Coturnix japonica: one gene and its partners. The protein of the gene in region 3 purifies or fractionates together with the protein of the main gene of each other region. This does not show direct contact. Links are inferred from orthologs where the notes say so. Each region holds a gene or a part of one and is shown on either strand. Other genes may lie near its edges.

Region 1 (3,657 bases), on a different chromosome or scaffold from region 3:
TGTTGTTTTTTTTTGTTTTTTTTTTTCCAGCATCTGGGGCTTCCTTGTTTACATTTTACTTTCATTCTCATTATTCAAGAAGAACTCATCCAGTTATTTTTCTTTTAAAGATTTTTAATTAAATTTCCTGAAGATTTGCCAGCTGAAAGAAGACAGAGTAAACACTGAAAGTAGTTATTAGTTTCTCTAACCATAGTTGCAGATACACCCATTTAAGATCGATAATAACATTTTATCCTGATCCGATTTTTTTAAGATGTAATAGGGTAATACTTTTTAGATAGCTGTGCCTTCAGCTTAAGAAGCAATATAGAATCATAGAATGGATTGGGTTGGAAGGGACCTCAAGGATCATCAAATTCCATCCCTCTTACCACAGTCAGGGTTGCCAACTGCTAGATAATTACAAGACCAGCCTGCCCAGGGCCCCACCCAACCTGGCCTTAAACACTCCCAGGGATGGGCAGTGTGTTCCAGCACCTTATCACTCACTCAGTAAATCATTTCCCCAGCATCTAATCTGATGTACATTTAGGTAAAGTTTCTATAACAAGGATAAAGAAAGACTCCTTCAAGGTGTAAATAATTTTCATTGTTGAATCAGCCTACGTATTCTGTAATGTAAATATTTTTGAATATAGGAGATGACAATACCATGGACAAGGCAACAAAAGCAATTACCAACAGTGACATTTCATCAATTTCTAAGAAAATTGCCATGTTGGAAATTAAGGAACTAAATGAAAGACAGAGAGCAGAACATTCCCAAAGTATGTATGAACATTTAAGGAATACTTTAAAGCAAGTAGAAGAACGCAATTTTGAACTGGAAACAAAGTTTGCTGAGGTAAGATTTAACACATGATTTAACACATTAGAAACATCCTTGAGTTTTTTGTAAAGTATTTGTCAGTTATGTGTCATTATGACTGACAAATGTATGATGCAAAATATAGATGCCTTTTATGAGTTGTAAATTTGTATGACTGGGCATGTGTTTAAAAAAAATATGACTGTTTATTTCAAATAACATTTGTTCTCCATAAAGCACATGATGAGTAACTTGACATAGTTTTCTAGTTCATCAGCAGATTCCTAGGAAGAAGCCTGTTATTTCAATTGTTAGACCTTTGTAAGAGAGTGTCATGATTCTTTTGCAGGCTGTGTTCTTATGTCACATACCAAGATTACAATTTTCTGTAATACAGGAATAGAAGGCATGAGCTGTTGAACTGATGATCTTTGTAATTATTCTTCGTATCAGTTTTAATCTTGGTGGATTTTTGTCCCCAGTATTTGTATTTGAAATTTGTTTTATAAATTCACTATTTAATAGGAGAGTTTATTCAGTTTTTTAAATTCTAGTTTTTCTGATATTTTTAGAGCCTCTTTTGACAGAATAATTTCTTCTATTTCATTAATAGCTCAGGCATTATTTTGGGTAATTAATGAAATTTGAGCAATCACTTTGAGAATAGGAAATCTTCACATTCTAAACTCATAAATCTATTTCAGTGTAAGTTTGTTTTCTTACCCTTTTCACAGTTCCCATAAGAACCTCTGAGTAGTTTGATATTTTTTCAGAGTACTGCCTCAAATATATGAAATCCAGACAATAAGATACACCTAACGGTTTTGTTTGTTTAGGAAATTAACTATTTTCTTAATTATAGAATCACCAAGGATGGAAGAGATCTCCATGATCACCTAGTCCAACTGTCCACCTACCACCAGTATTTTCCCACTAAACCATGTCCCTCGGTACAACATCTAAACATTTCTTGAACACTTCCAGGGATGGTGGTTCAACTACCTCCCTGGGCAGCCTGTTCCAGTGCTTGACCACTCTTTCAGAGAGAAATTTTTTGTAATATCCAACTTGAACCTCCCCTTGGTGCAACTTGAGGCCAATCCCTCTCGTCTTATTGCTAGTTATGCTGGAGAAGAAGCAGATCACCACCATGCCACAATTTCCTTTCAGGTAGTTGTAGAGAGTGATAAGGTCTCCGCTGAGCCTCCTCCTCTCCAGACAGAATAGTCCCAGTTCCATCAGCCTCTCTTTTTAAGACTTGTGCTTATTATTTTGTTAATGAGTTGTATCAAATTCATCTGTCATAACTTTATTTGGTAAATTAATTCCTAAGGCTCTGTATGTCTCATAATGCTTTTCATGTGTCCCATCTTTTCCTAATGCTCTTTGATGTGATGCACTGTTTACTCAATATGTAACAATCAGGTTGCTTGATAAAGGTGTTTTTAAAAAAGAACAAAACAAGTATGGTATTAGGAATCTGCGCCATATACTAAATATATAAGTAAAGCAGTTCATTTCTTAAAGAGTTTACAGTTTTACTATTTTTTTCTTTTTTTAGTTTAAAAGCAAGATCTTTGCTGGAATGATTTTATGAAAATTAACTAGCTAATAGGGTTTAATTTAGAAATCTGTTCCATGCTGATCTGTATATCTCTTCCTAAATGCATGCAGTGCTGTGAACAAAAATATGTTTAAGTGGGGAGAAAATAAGTACTTTTTAATTACGGCTGAACAGCGTTTTGTAATGACTTCAAAAGAAGTTACTTCGGGCACTTTGTCTTCTTTGCAGGTTTGGGATCAGTTGTGTGCTTACAATATCATTCTCTTTTCTGATCCTTTTTTAAGCTCACCAAAATCAATCTCGAGGCACAAAAAGTGGAACAGGAATTAAGAGATGAACTGTCAAAAAGTGTAAGTAAGGCAGTGAGCGATGCAGACAGACAACAAATCATGGACCTAGAGAAGCGTGAGATGGAGCTCAAGACTGAAGTATCAAAGTAAGTGATGACGTAACAAATTCATAATGAAGTAGGAATACTTGCATGTAACACTTCAAGTGTTTGATTTTTTTTGACATTTCTGTACGCTAAATTTAGAGTAGAAATTAAGTATTTAATTCAGTTTTTTGTTTCATTGTGATTTGAACAAGGAATTAAATGCTGGCCTGGTCAGATAATCATAAGCATGTCCTAAAATATTCATTTCTAGCCTTTTAAAAAAAAAAAAAATGAAAGTTTTCTTCTGTTTCTATACCACAACCACCCCTAACAAATAATGTAATCCTGTTATATTCCTAAATATAGCTATGGATGTGTGCAGTGATTTTGGTGCTGAAAATGGGGCATTAGACCTGGGGAAGCAGAGAATAGAACAGAGAATGAATTCTGTTGCACATTTATGTCTTGAGCTGGGAGAGAGATAGAGAAGGAGAGAGGTACTTACTTCTAGGAAAAAGCATGACTTTGTTTTCCTTGAGAAGATAAGTGGTAGAAAACTTACAAGAAAAATCCACCATAAAAGGTGAGAAGCAATAGAAAATACTTTTTCTAACAAGACTGCTGAGCAGTAGAGTGCTAAAAATGAAAAAAAAACAACAAATTCTTCAAATTTTTTTTATGAGGGGACAAAATAAGCATCTTCTCATGTTCTGTGTAGGAAAACCTAACAAGTTATTAGGTGGTTTGAAACAACACAATGCTCTTGCTTTTCCTGTAAGGTTGAGAGAACTGTCTGACATTGCAAAAATGCAAGTTGAAGCTCTAGAGGCACGCCAGCAATGCAGAGAGAAAGAAGTGGAATCTCTTAAAATGCAAGTTTTAGACTATCAGGTACAGTAATATTAA
Region 2 (3,212 bases), on a different chromosome or scaffold from region 3:
CTTTGATAAATGCATTGTAAGTTCTTTAGTTTTTCTGTTTAAGATAACTCTATTACTTTAGGAAGCCTGCACCTATTCAATTTGATTTTAGGATTTTAAGACTTTTTGTTTTAATTTGAAGCAAAAATGAGTGTCTGCACTACAGTTACATTGGACAAACTTTTTTTATTAAAAAATATTTATTAAAAAATAGTAATTGGCAGTTGTTTCCCTCTTCCCTTTCCATCCCAGTTTACCTGAAGGATGAGCTATCCATAGGACGTACAACCTCTTGTCCTCAACATTTCAGTTATGTGAGCTGGCTGACTTTTGTAATTGTTTTAAACTTTTACTGAAGTCAATCAAGTAAAATCAATAGTGCTCTGACTTTTTTTTTTTTTTTTTTTTTACATTCCAAAACAATCCAAAACAACCTCACAGACTTAAGGGAAAATCAGAATCTTTGTAATATACTGAATAGACATTTATTCCTTGCATTCAGGTATTTTTATCATTAAACAAAACGCAGATTTTTGTGAAACATTAAGACTTCTCTCCTACTACCAACATATTTGCCAGTTTCTGCCACGGAGAAAGTTTGCTATTCTTAATAAGGCAGCCTTAGTACAAATACTTGTTTGTGTGACTGTTGCTTTTGCTATTATTGTTGTAAGTGTCATTTGACTCCAGGCCACTTTGGTAACACTGATCATTCATTGTCAGAGGAATGCTTGAGATACTTGGAAGTTATTATTTTTTAGCTTATTCTTAAAAACAAAATTTCAACAGGAGATTAAAGAAGCTTTCTGTGGCCAAATGAATCATTTGCTGGGTTGATGCTGAAAAGTGAAGTTGTGGAATGGAAGTCTTAAATATAATTTGTTAATTGCTTCTGGTGAATAAGTTGTGGATTCATTGTTTGTGGTATTTTTTTTTCTTAATGCTAAATAAGCAAGCAGAGGAAGATAAAAACTTGAAGATTATAAACTTCAGTCTTGAAGATTTTACTTGCCTTTCTTTCTTCACAGTTTTTACTGTTAACAAATTTGTGAAGATACAATAATTAAAAGATAAAATGATCTCCCTGATTAGACGCATGTTACTTTTTCAGTATGTTTACTTTTTTTCTATTACTAGTTATGGTTATTACTAGTTATGGTCTGGAACTGTATTGTAGAGAATAACTTCTGTGTTTCAATTCAAGAGCAATCAAATGAAGCAGATGGATGAAGTAAAAATCTCAAAGAAAAGTAAAGTCGGGATCCTTCCATTTGTTGCTGAATTTGAAGAGTTTGCAGCCCTTGCTGAATCAATTTTCAAAAATGCAGAACGACGAGGAGATCTGGACAAAGCATATATAAAACTTATTAGAGCTGTTTTTATCAGCGGTAGGTCTTCCCATTTCGTAATACTTATTAATTCCTCCTGTGTAGGTGTATTCTGCTCTGTTTAATTGATAATGTTTTTTTTTTTAAGACTCTATATTGTAAACCACATGACCAACATTGCACTGATGTTAAAAAAAAAACAACCTAATTTATAGAAGCAAGTTGAAACATTTTGATAAAATGAAATATTTAAAAGCAAACTGTAGATATTTCCCTTAACACATATATACAAAGTAACTTTCGGTTATGACAGGGGAAGTGGTTAAGGATACAGGAAGGAGGGGGGAGAGAACTGCAACACTACAGGCCAAAGTCTCAAGTGGTTTTCTGGCTTTTCTGCACCAGTCTGGCTTAAATGAGGAGATGAGACAGGATGGAATCCCTGTCATTTCATTCTAATGCTGTACAGCTTCTCAGTGCTGTGTTGTCTCATTCAGTTCTAATGTAGCCTTGTGTTCTGGCTATGAATTTGACCATATCATAGCAGATGAGGTCCTCCTGACATAGTAGAATGCCTCTCCCATCCCTTCCTGTTTTTCCAGCTCTGATCTGGAAAACCAGAACAGTCTTGTTCTCCTTGTTATTAACAAAAAAGAAATAGATGAAGGTGAAGTAAAAGAAGTGAAATGCCAGAAAAATGGTCATAACCTTTTAAACAACAGAGAGGCCTCTCCATGTTGATTTATGTACATCCTTTGAAACAGCTCGACCTGTAGTACTTCCCAATCACTGAGACTTGCCTTTTTCCCTGAGGGAGGTTGAGGAAGAGGGAAGAGTTCTGGCAATAAAGCTTGTTTGAGGAAACTAGCACAGGAGTTCTGAACATTAGGAGGTTGTGAAGATGCATCATTTCACAATATAGTGGACTACAGTTCATAAAGAGTCAGTAGAAGTTAGTAGGGCAGTGAATTTTAACAACATTGATTGCGTCCAACTATTCAGTACTTTAGAATTGATTGTTCAAGTGATGAAACCAGGCAGACGCTAACAGTCAAACCATACATTGATAGAAGTACTACTGTAGGAAGAATTCAGGAAAGTACGTTTTAAAAGAAATTTAAAAGGATTTCAGTTGAACTTAGAAAAAAAAATAATTGACTAGTACAGCATGAGCTTCAACAAGTAATTATGATGGGGATTGGTGCTTCAGTGATCTAACTGAAATGAATTGATGATATTGACTCGTACCTTGGTGCCCAGGAGTATGCTTCATAAATATTTTTCATGGTGGTTTTCCTACTTCATAGTCTCAATGAAATGATGGATGAGCGGGCATAGAGGTTTAATTGCATTCTTAGATTAATTCTGCATTAATCTGCATTCTAACCATCGTCTCCTTGGCCTGCATGCATGCAGATGCAGTAGGGGGTCAATAAGTAGAATTTCTTACACCTGCTCTGTTTTACTTGGGAGGGTTAAAAGTAAAAGCCTGCATGTATCTGATGCTTCTTTTGAAAGCCCTCGAATATTTATTTAGTGACTGTTATGATTATCGTTCATACACATGGTTATCACTGTGATAGAATCCCTTACTTTTTTCTTTTCATCAGTTATGTTTTCTTCCGAATTTGGTTGCCCTTTAGGAGTTCTAAATATTTTGTTTCCCTTATCTTTTAGTTGAAAAAGTAGCTAATGAAAGCCAGAAAACACCCAGAGATGTGGTGATGATGGAGAATTTCCATCATATTTTTGCAACACTTTCTCGGTTGAAAATTTCTTGTCTTGAAGCTGAGAAAAAAGAAGCCAAACTGAAATACACCGAACATCTTCAGTCTTATGTAGTCTACTCACTTGGACAGCCTCTTGAAAAATTAAATGTAAGTATACTTCATTCTAGCTATATAC
Region 3 (3,657 bases):
AAGCTATTATGCTCTGGATTTAAAGATCTGGCTTTAACTGATAAACACCATGATCTAAGAGACCATAATCCTCTTATGACAGTAATGCAGACTCTAAGTGTGCCCACACATCCACCTACAGAGACAAATCACGATATATACAATAACAACAGAATGGGCTCAAGTTTTTCAGCCCACACATTTGTGTAAATGAGAGCTCCAAACTTTTGCATTTTTAATCCAAGAAGGCACATACAGAACTTCTAAGCTGAATGATGTCACAGGGTGAAGCAGGACTTTTGATGACATTTCCCTAATAAAACTATCAATACTAGAAACTTTTATGAGCTCCACTATGTGGAAAACAACAAAAATGTTTTATGAGCATCTCAGATATGCATCTGTGAATCTGACAATAGTGTTAGGCAACTATGTAAATGTTTACTTCCCAAGTAGTCTGTAAAACACACATTCTTCTTCCTTCTCCATTTCTCCCTATAATAAACCACATTTGTTTGTACAAGACCACGCTAACAAAAGTACAACACACACAAAGATCCAAGCTTTCTTCATAGCATGGATTAACCACCTCCTGATAGCCCACATGTACATCTGCATTCTCACACACTCACGTGATAAATGATTAATGCAAATTATTGCCGCTTTAACAGTTCTACAGTTAGTTACATAAAAGTGAACTAACTTTATGGAAAGACTGCAAGCTTTAATATCACCGACGAGACATTTGTGAAACCACAGAGTTTCAGAAGTCTGTAACTTGTAGAGTTTAAGAACTTCCATTGCAGCTGCAGGTGAGCCACATTTGGAGTTTCAGCCTCAACAGTACAGAACCACATTTGTTCTAAAATAAATCCAAGAGTATAACCAAACCCTGACTATTAAAAAGCCAAAAGGCCACTTAAAAACTTCTCTAAAATAACGCTCACAATATTCCAAAGATTATTTTGATTTTTTGGCAAAACTGTAAGTGCAGTTTTAACCCAGAAAGAAAAAAACCCACTGCTGGAGCTGCATGGTCACTGTATCGTACTCAGTACACTGGGACTGACTGGACCATGATCATATGACTAAAAATATTAATACATTTCTATTCTTCTCAGTGTTAAACAAGCACATTTAAAACTCAGCTTGAGTGATTCAAGAACTGCTTATTTAAGATGCATGTGCTAATGCTTGTAATACTGAGAACATGACACAAGAAAGTAAAGCAGCTGGCTGATTGCCTGCAGCCTGGCCACCCTCTCCTTTCTGCTTTATCCTGCTCCACCTGATCCTATCAGAACTTCAGGACGTATTTACTTTATGGTGGAATATTTGAAGAGTTAACTGTGAAGCAGTTAACTGTTCTGCCACCAGTACATCATCCTCTAATGCTGTTTAGTGCAATCCAATGCTACAGTCCCACACTTCCAGTTTTCCATATGCTATACATTTTTACACAGAGGCATCACAGAACTAAGGGCTTTTTTTTCATGGAGAAGAATTTTGGCAGCTGGGAAAGGGACAGTTGGAGCTTTTGGCACCAGAAATGGCAATTTGGTACTGCTGGAAAAGCACATTGTTTGGATGTTTTTGCTAAAAGAATCTGCAATGAAACAGCTCATATTGGCATTACATTACTTCTGTGTTTGAGAAAATACAGCTGACAGGAAAAAGGCATCTTTCAGATGAAGGATCTCTGGGTTATCCCAAGAACATTCCCTGGGACACAGGAACAAACTCTTAGGAAAGCTACACATTTCCAAGCACAGGAAGCAAATAGGAACAGCCATGTAAGGTTTATCACAGACAAATTATGTGTGACCAGCTTGATGGTCTTCTGTGATGACTGGCTCTGTGGATGAGGAGAGAGCACCGGGTGTCATTTACTTGAACTTTAGCAGGGCTGTCATCAGTCTCCCATGCACTGCAGGGCAGGGCTGGCACTCAAAGGAAACTCCACAGACACAGAAAATGGGTCAGTACAAACCACATTAAATTCAAATGGGACGTCCTGCACTTGGGACTGAATAACCTCATGAATCATACAGGTTGGGCCCTGATTACCTGGACAGCAGCTCCACTGAAAAGAACCTGGGGATCGTGGTGGATTACAAACTGAACACAAGCCAGCAGTGTGTCCTTGCAGTAACAAAGCCTAGCTGCATAGTATGCTGCACTTGCAAAAGCAAAGACAACGGGTCAAAGAAAATTATTTACACAGCTTTACTCAAGCACTCTGGAGGGCACACCTGTAATACTGCCCAGACTTTACTGGGTCACCCCAGACAGACATTGACTAACTGAAGAGATAATGGTACAGAGCATATGGTATAAGTTCAGGGAATCTAATCTCTGTCTTTTGCTATCATCTGTAGAGAAAATCCAGCCACATTCTTCCAGGTGCACTGAAAAAGGACAAGAGTTAGTGGAAAAGAGCTGCAACAAGGAACATTCCTGCTAAATCTAATGGAAGAATTCTAATGGAATGTGAATCACGCAGCCCCAAGACAGGGACTGAGTGAGATGGAGGGTCTGCATCCTTGGAGATCTCCATCACTGCATACAGCCCTGAGCAGCCAGATCCTGTTGGCCCTGCATTTAGCAGTGATTTATATGACCTAATTTTTCTTGAAATTCTGTGACGTGAGAAACACCAAACTAAACACAAACAAGTCCTATCACACCATTCTCTAGCACTTTTAACAAAGCAGTGCTGTTTACCTGAAGCTCCTCTGCAAAGCTGCCACTGCTTGAGGAAGTTTTTTCAGTCTTTTTCTTGTCTGAAATCCCTTCCACATTGCCTGAATTACACAAGCTGCCTGGTGCTGTCTCTGAAATGCATAAAACAGTTAGCAGAATATTTTCTTTGCATATAAAAACAGGTTATTACTGTTTGCATATTTGGAACCATCTCAGCATTTGGTCAAACCTTAGCAGTTCTCCAATGCTCTGAAATGCACAGTGTTTATAACAGCGAGGGGGCAGTTAAGGTCTTAGACAATTATTATCACAAAACTTGTATTTACTCCAAAGGCAGCTAACCTGCATCAATGCTCTCTTTAGCAAACAAATGAATCCACAGCACAGATACATATTAACCACATAACTGGTATAGGAAATTTTAAAATTGAAAGTATCTGAAGCACTTGGTATTACAAGTGCCAATTCAGTCAAAATACCTTCACTAGAGAGAATGGAAAGGCAAGTCTGGAGAAAAACTGTAGGAAATATTTACATTTCCACCATGATCAGAAAATGCAACAAATATGATAAATATATATATATATATATTCTCAAATGGTGCTTTTTCTAAGGCAAGCAAAACACACAAAACACCCTGCTGTGTTTAAGGTGAAAGCAGGACTCTGTAAACATGACTCTGATTTCCTTTGAACTAATCACACTGAAAACCCTGCATATAAAACTTTGGTAAGCTCATAAAACACACATTTGCTCTTTTTATTGGAAACACAGTACAGACAATGTTCTCACTGAACATTTTCGCTACACGACTCTTAATTCTATCTGAATGTTCCCAAGAATCCAGAAATCTACATTTATAACACTGATGCAAAACGAGCAGATGCAATTATTTTTGTTTTACAGCTAACAGCTATTTTTGTTTTACAGCTATCAGCTAAAAAGATCTTTTTCCTTATGACTGTATAAAGTTTC

What was found.
Region 1: the proteins of IQCB1 (region 3) and CEP290 purify together in Homo sapiens (co-immunoprecipitation; 8 studies listed by BioGRID and IntAct, counting the BioPlex papers as one, with this or other methods). This does not show direct contact. The link is inferred for Coturnix japonica from reciprocal best matches to the Homo sapiens genes IQCB1 and CEP290.
Region 2: the proteins of IQCB1 (region 3) and EXOC1 purify together in Homo sapiens (affinity purification with mass spectrometry; 3 studies listed by BioGRID and IntAct, counting the BioPlex papers as one, with this or other methods). This does not show direct contact. The link is inferred for Coturnix japonica from reciprocal best matches to the Homo sapiens genes IQCB1 and EXOC1.

What each region holds. Positions count from the first base shown.
Region 1 is NC_029516.1:38,944,752-38,948,408, reverse strand, and holds part of CEP290 (centrosomal protein of 290 kDa), read left to right. Parts: intron 1-641; coding exon 642-847; intron 848-2,659; coding exon 2,660-2,811; intron 2,812-3,530; coding exon 3,531-3,642; intron 3,643-3,657. UniProt on the Homo sapiens protein: Involved in early and late steps in cilia formation. Its association with CCP110 is required for inhibition of primary cilia formation by CCP110.
Region 2 is NC_029519.1:58,587,583-58,590,794, reverse strand, and holds part of EXOC1 (exocyst complex component 1), read left to right. Parts: coding exon 1-16; intron 17-1,183; coding exon 1,184-1,367; intron 1,368-2,984; coding exon 2,985-3,184; intron 3,185-3,212.
Region 3 is NC_029522.1:20,672,196-20,675,852, reverse strand, and holds part of IQCB1 (IQ calmodulin-binding motif-containing protein 1), read right to left. Parts: intron 2,814-3,657; coding exon 2,704-2,813; intron 1-2,703. UniProt on the Homo sapiens protein: Involved in ciliogenesis. The function in an early step in cilia formation depends on its association with CEP290/NPHP6.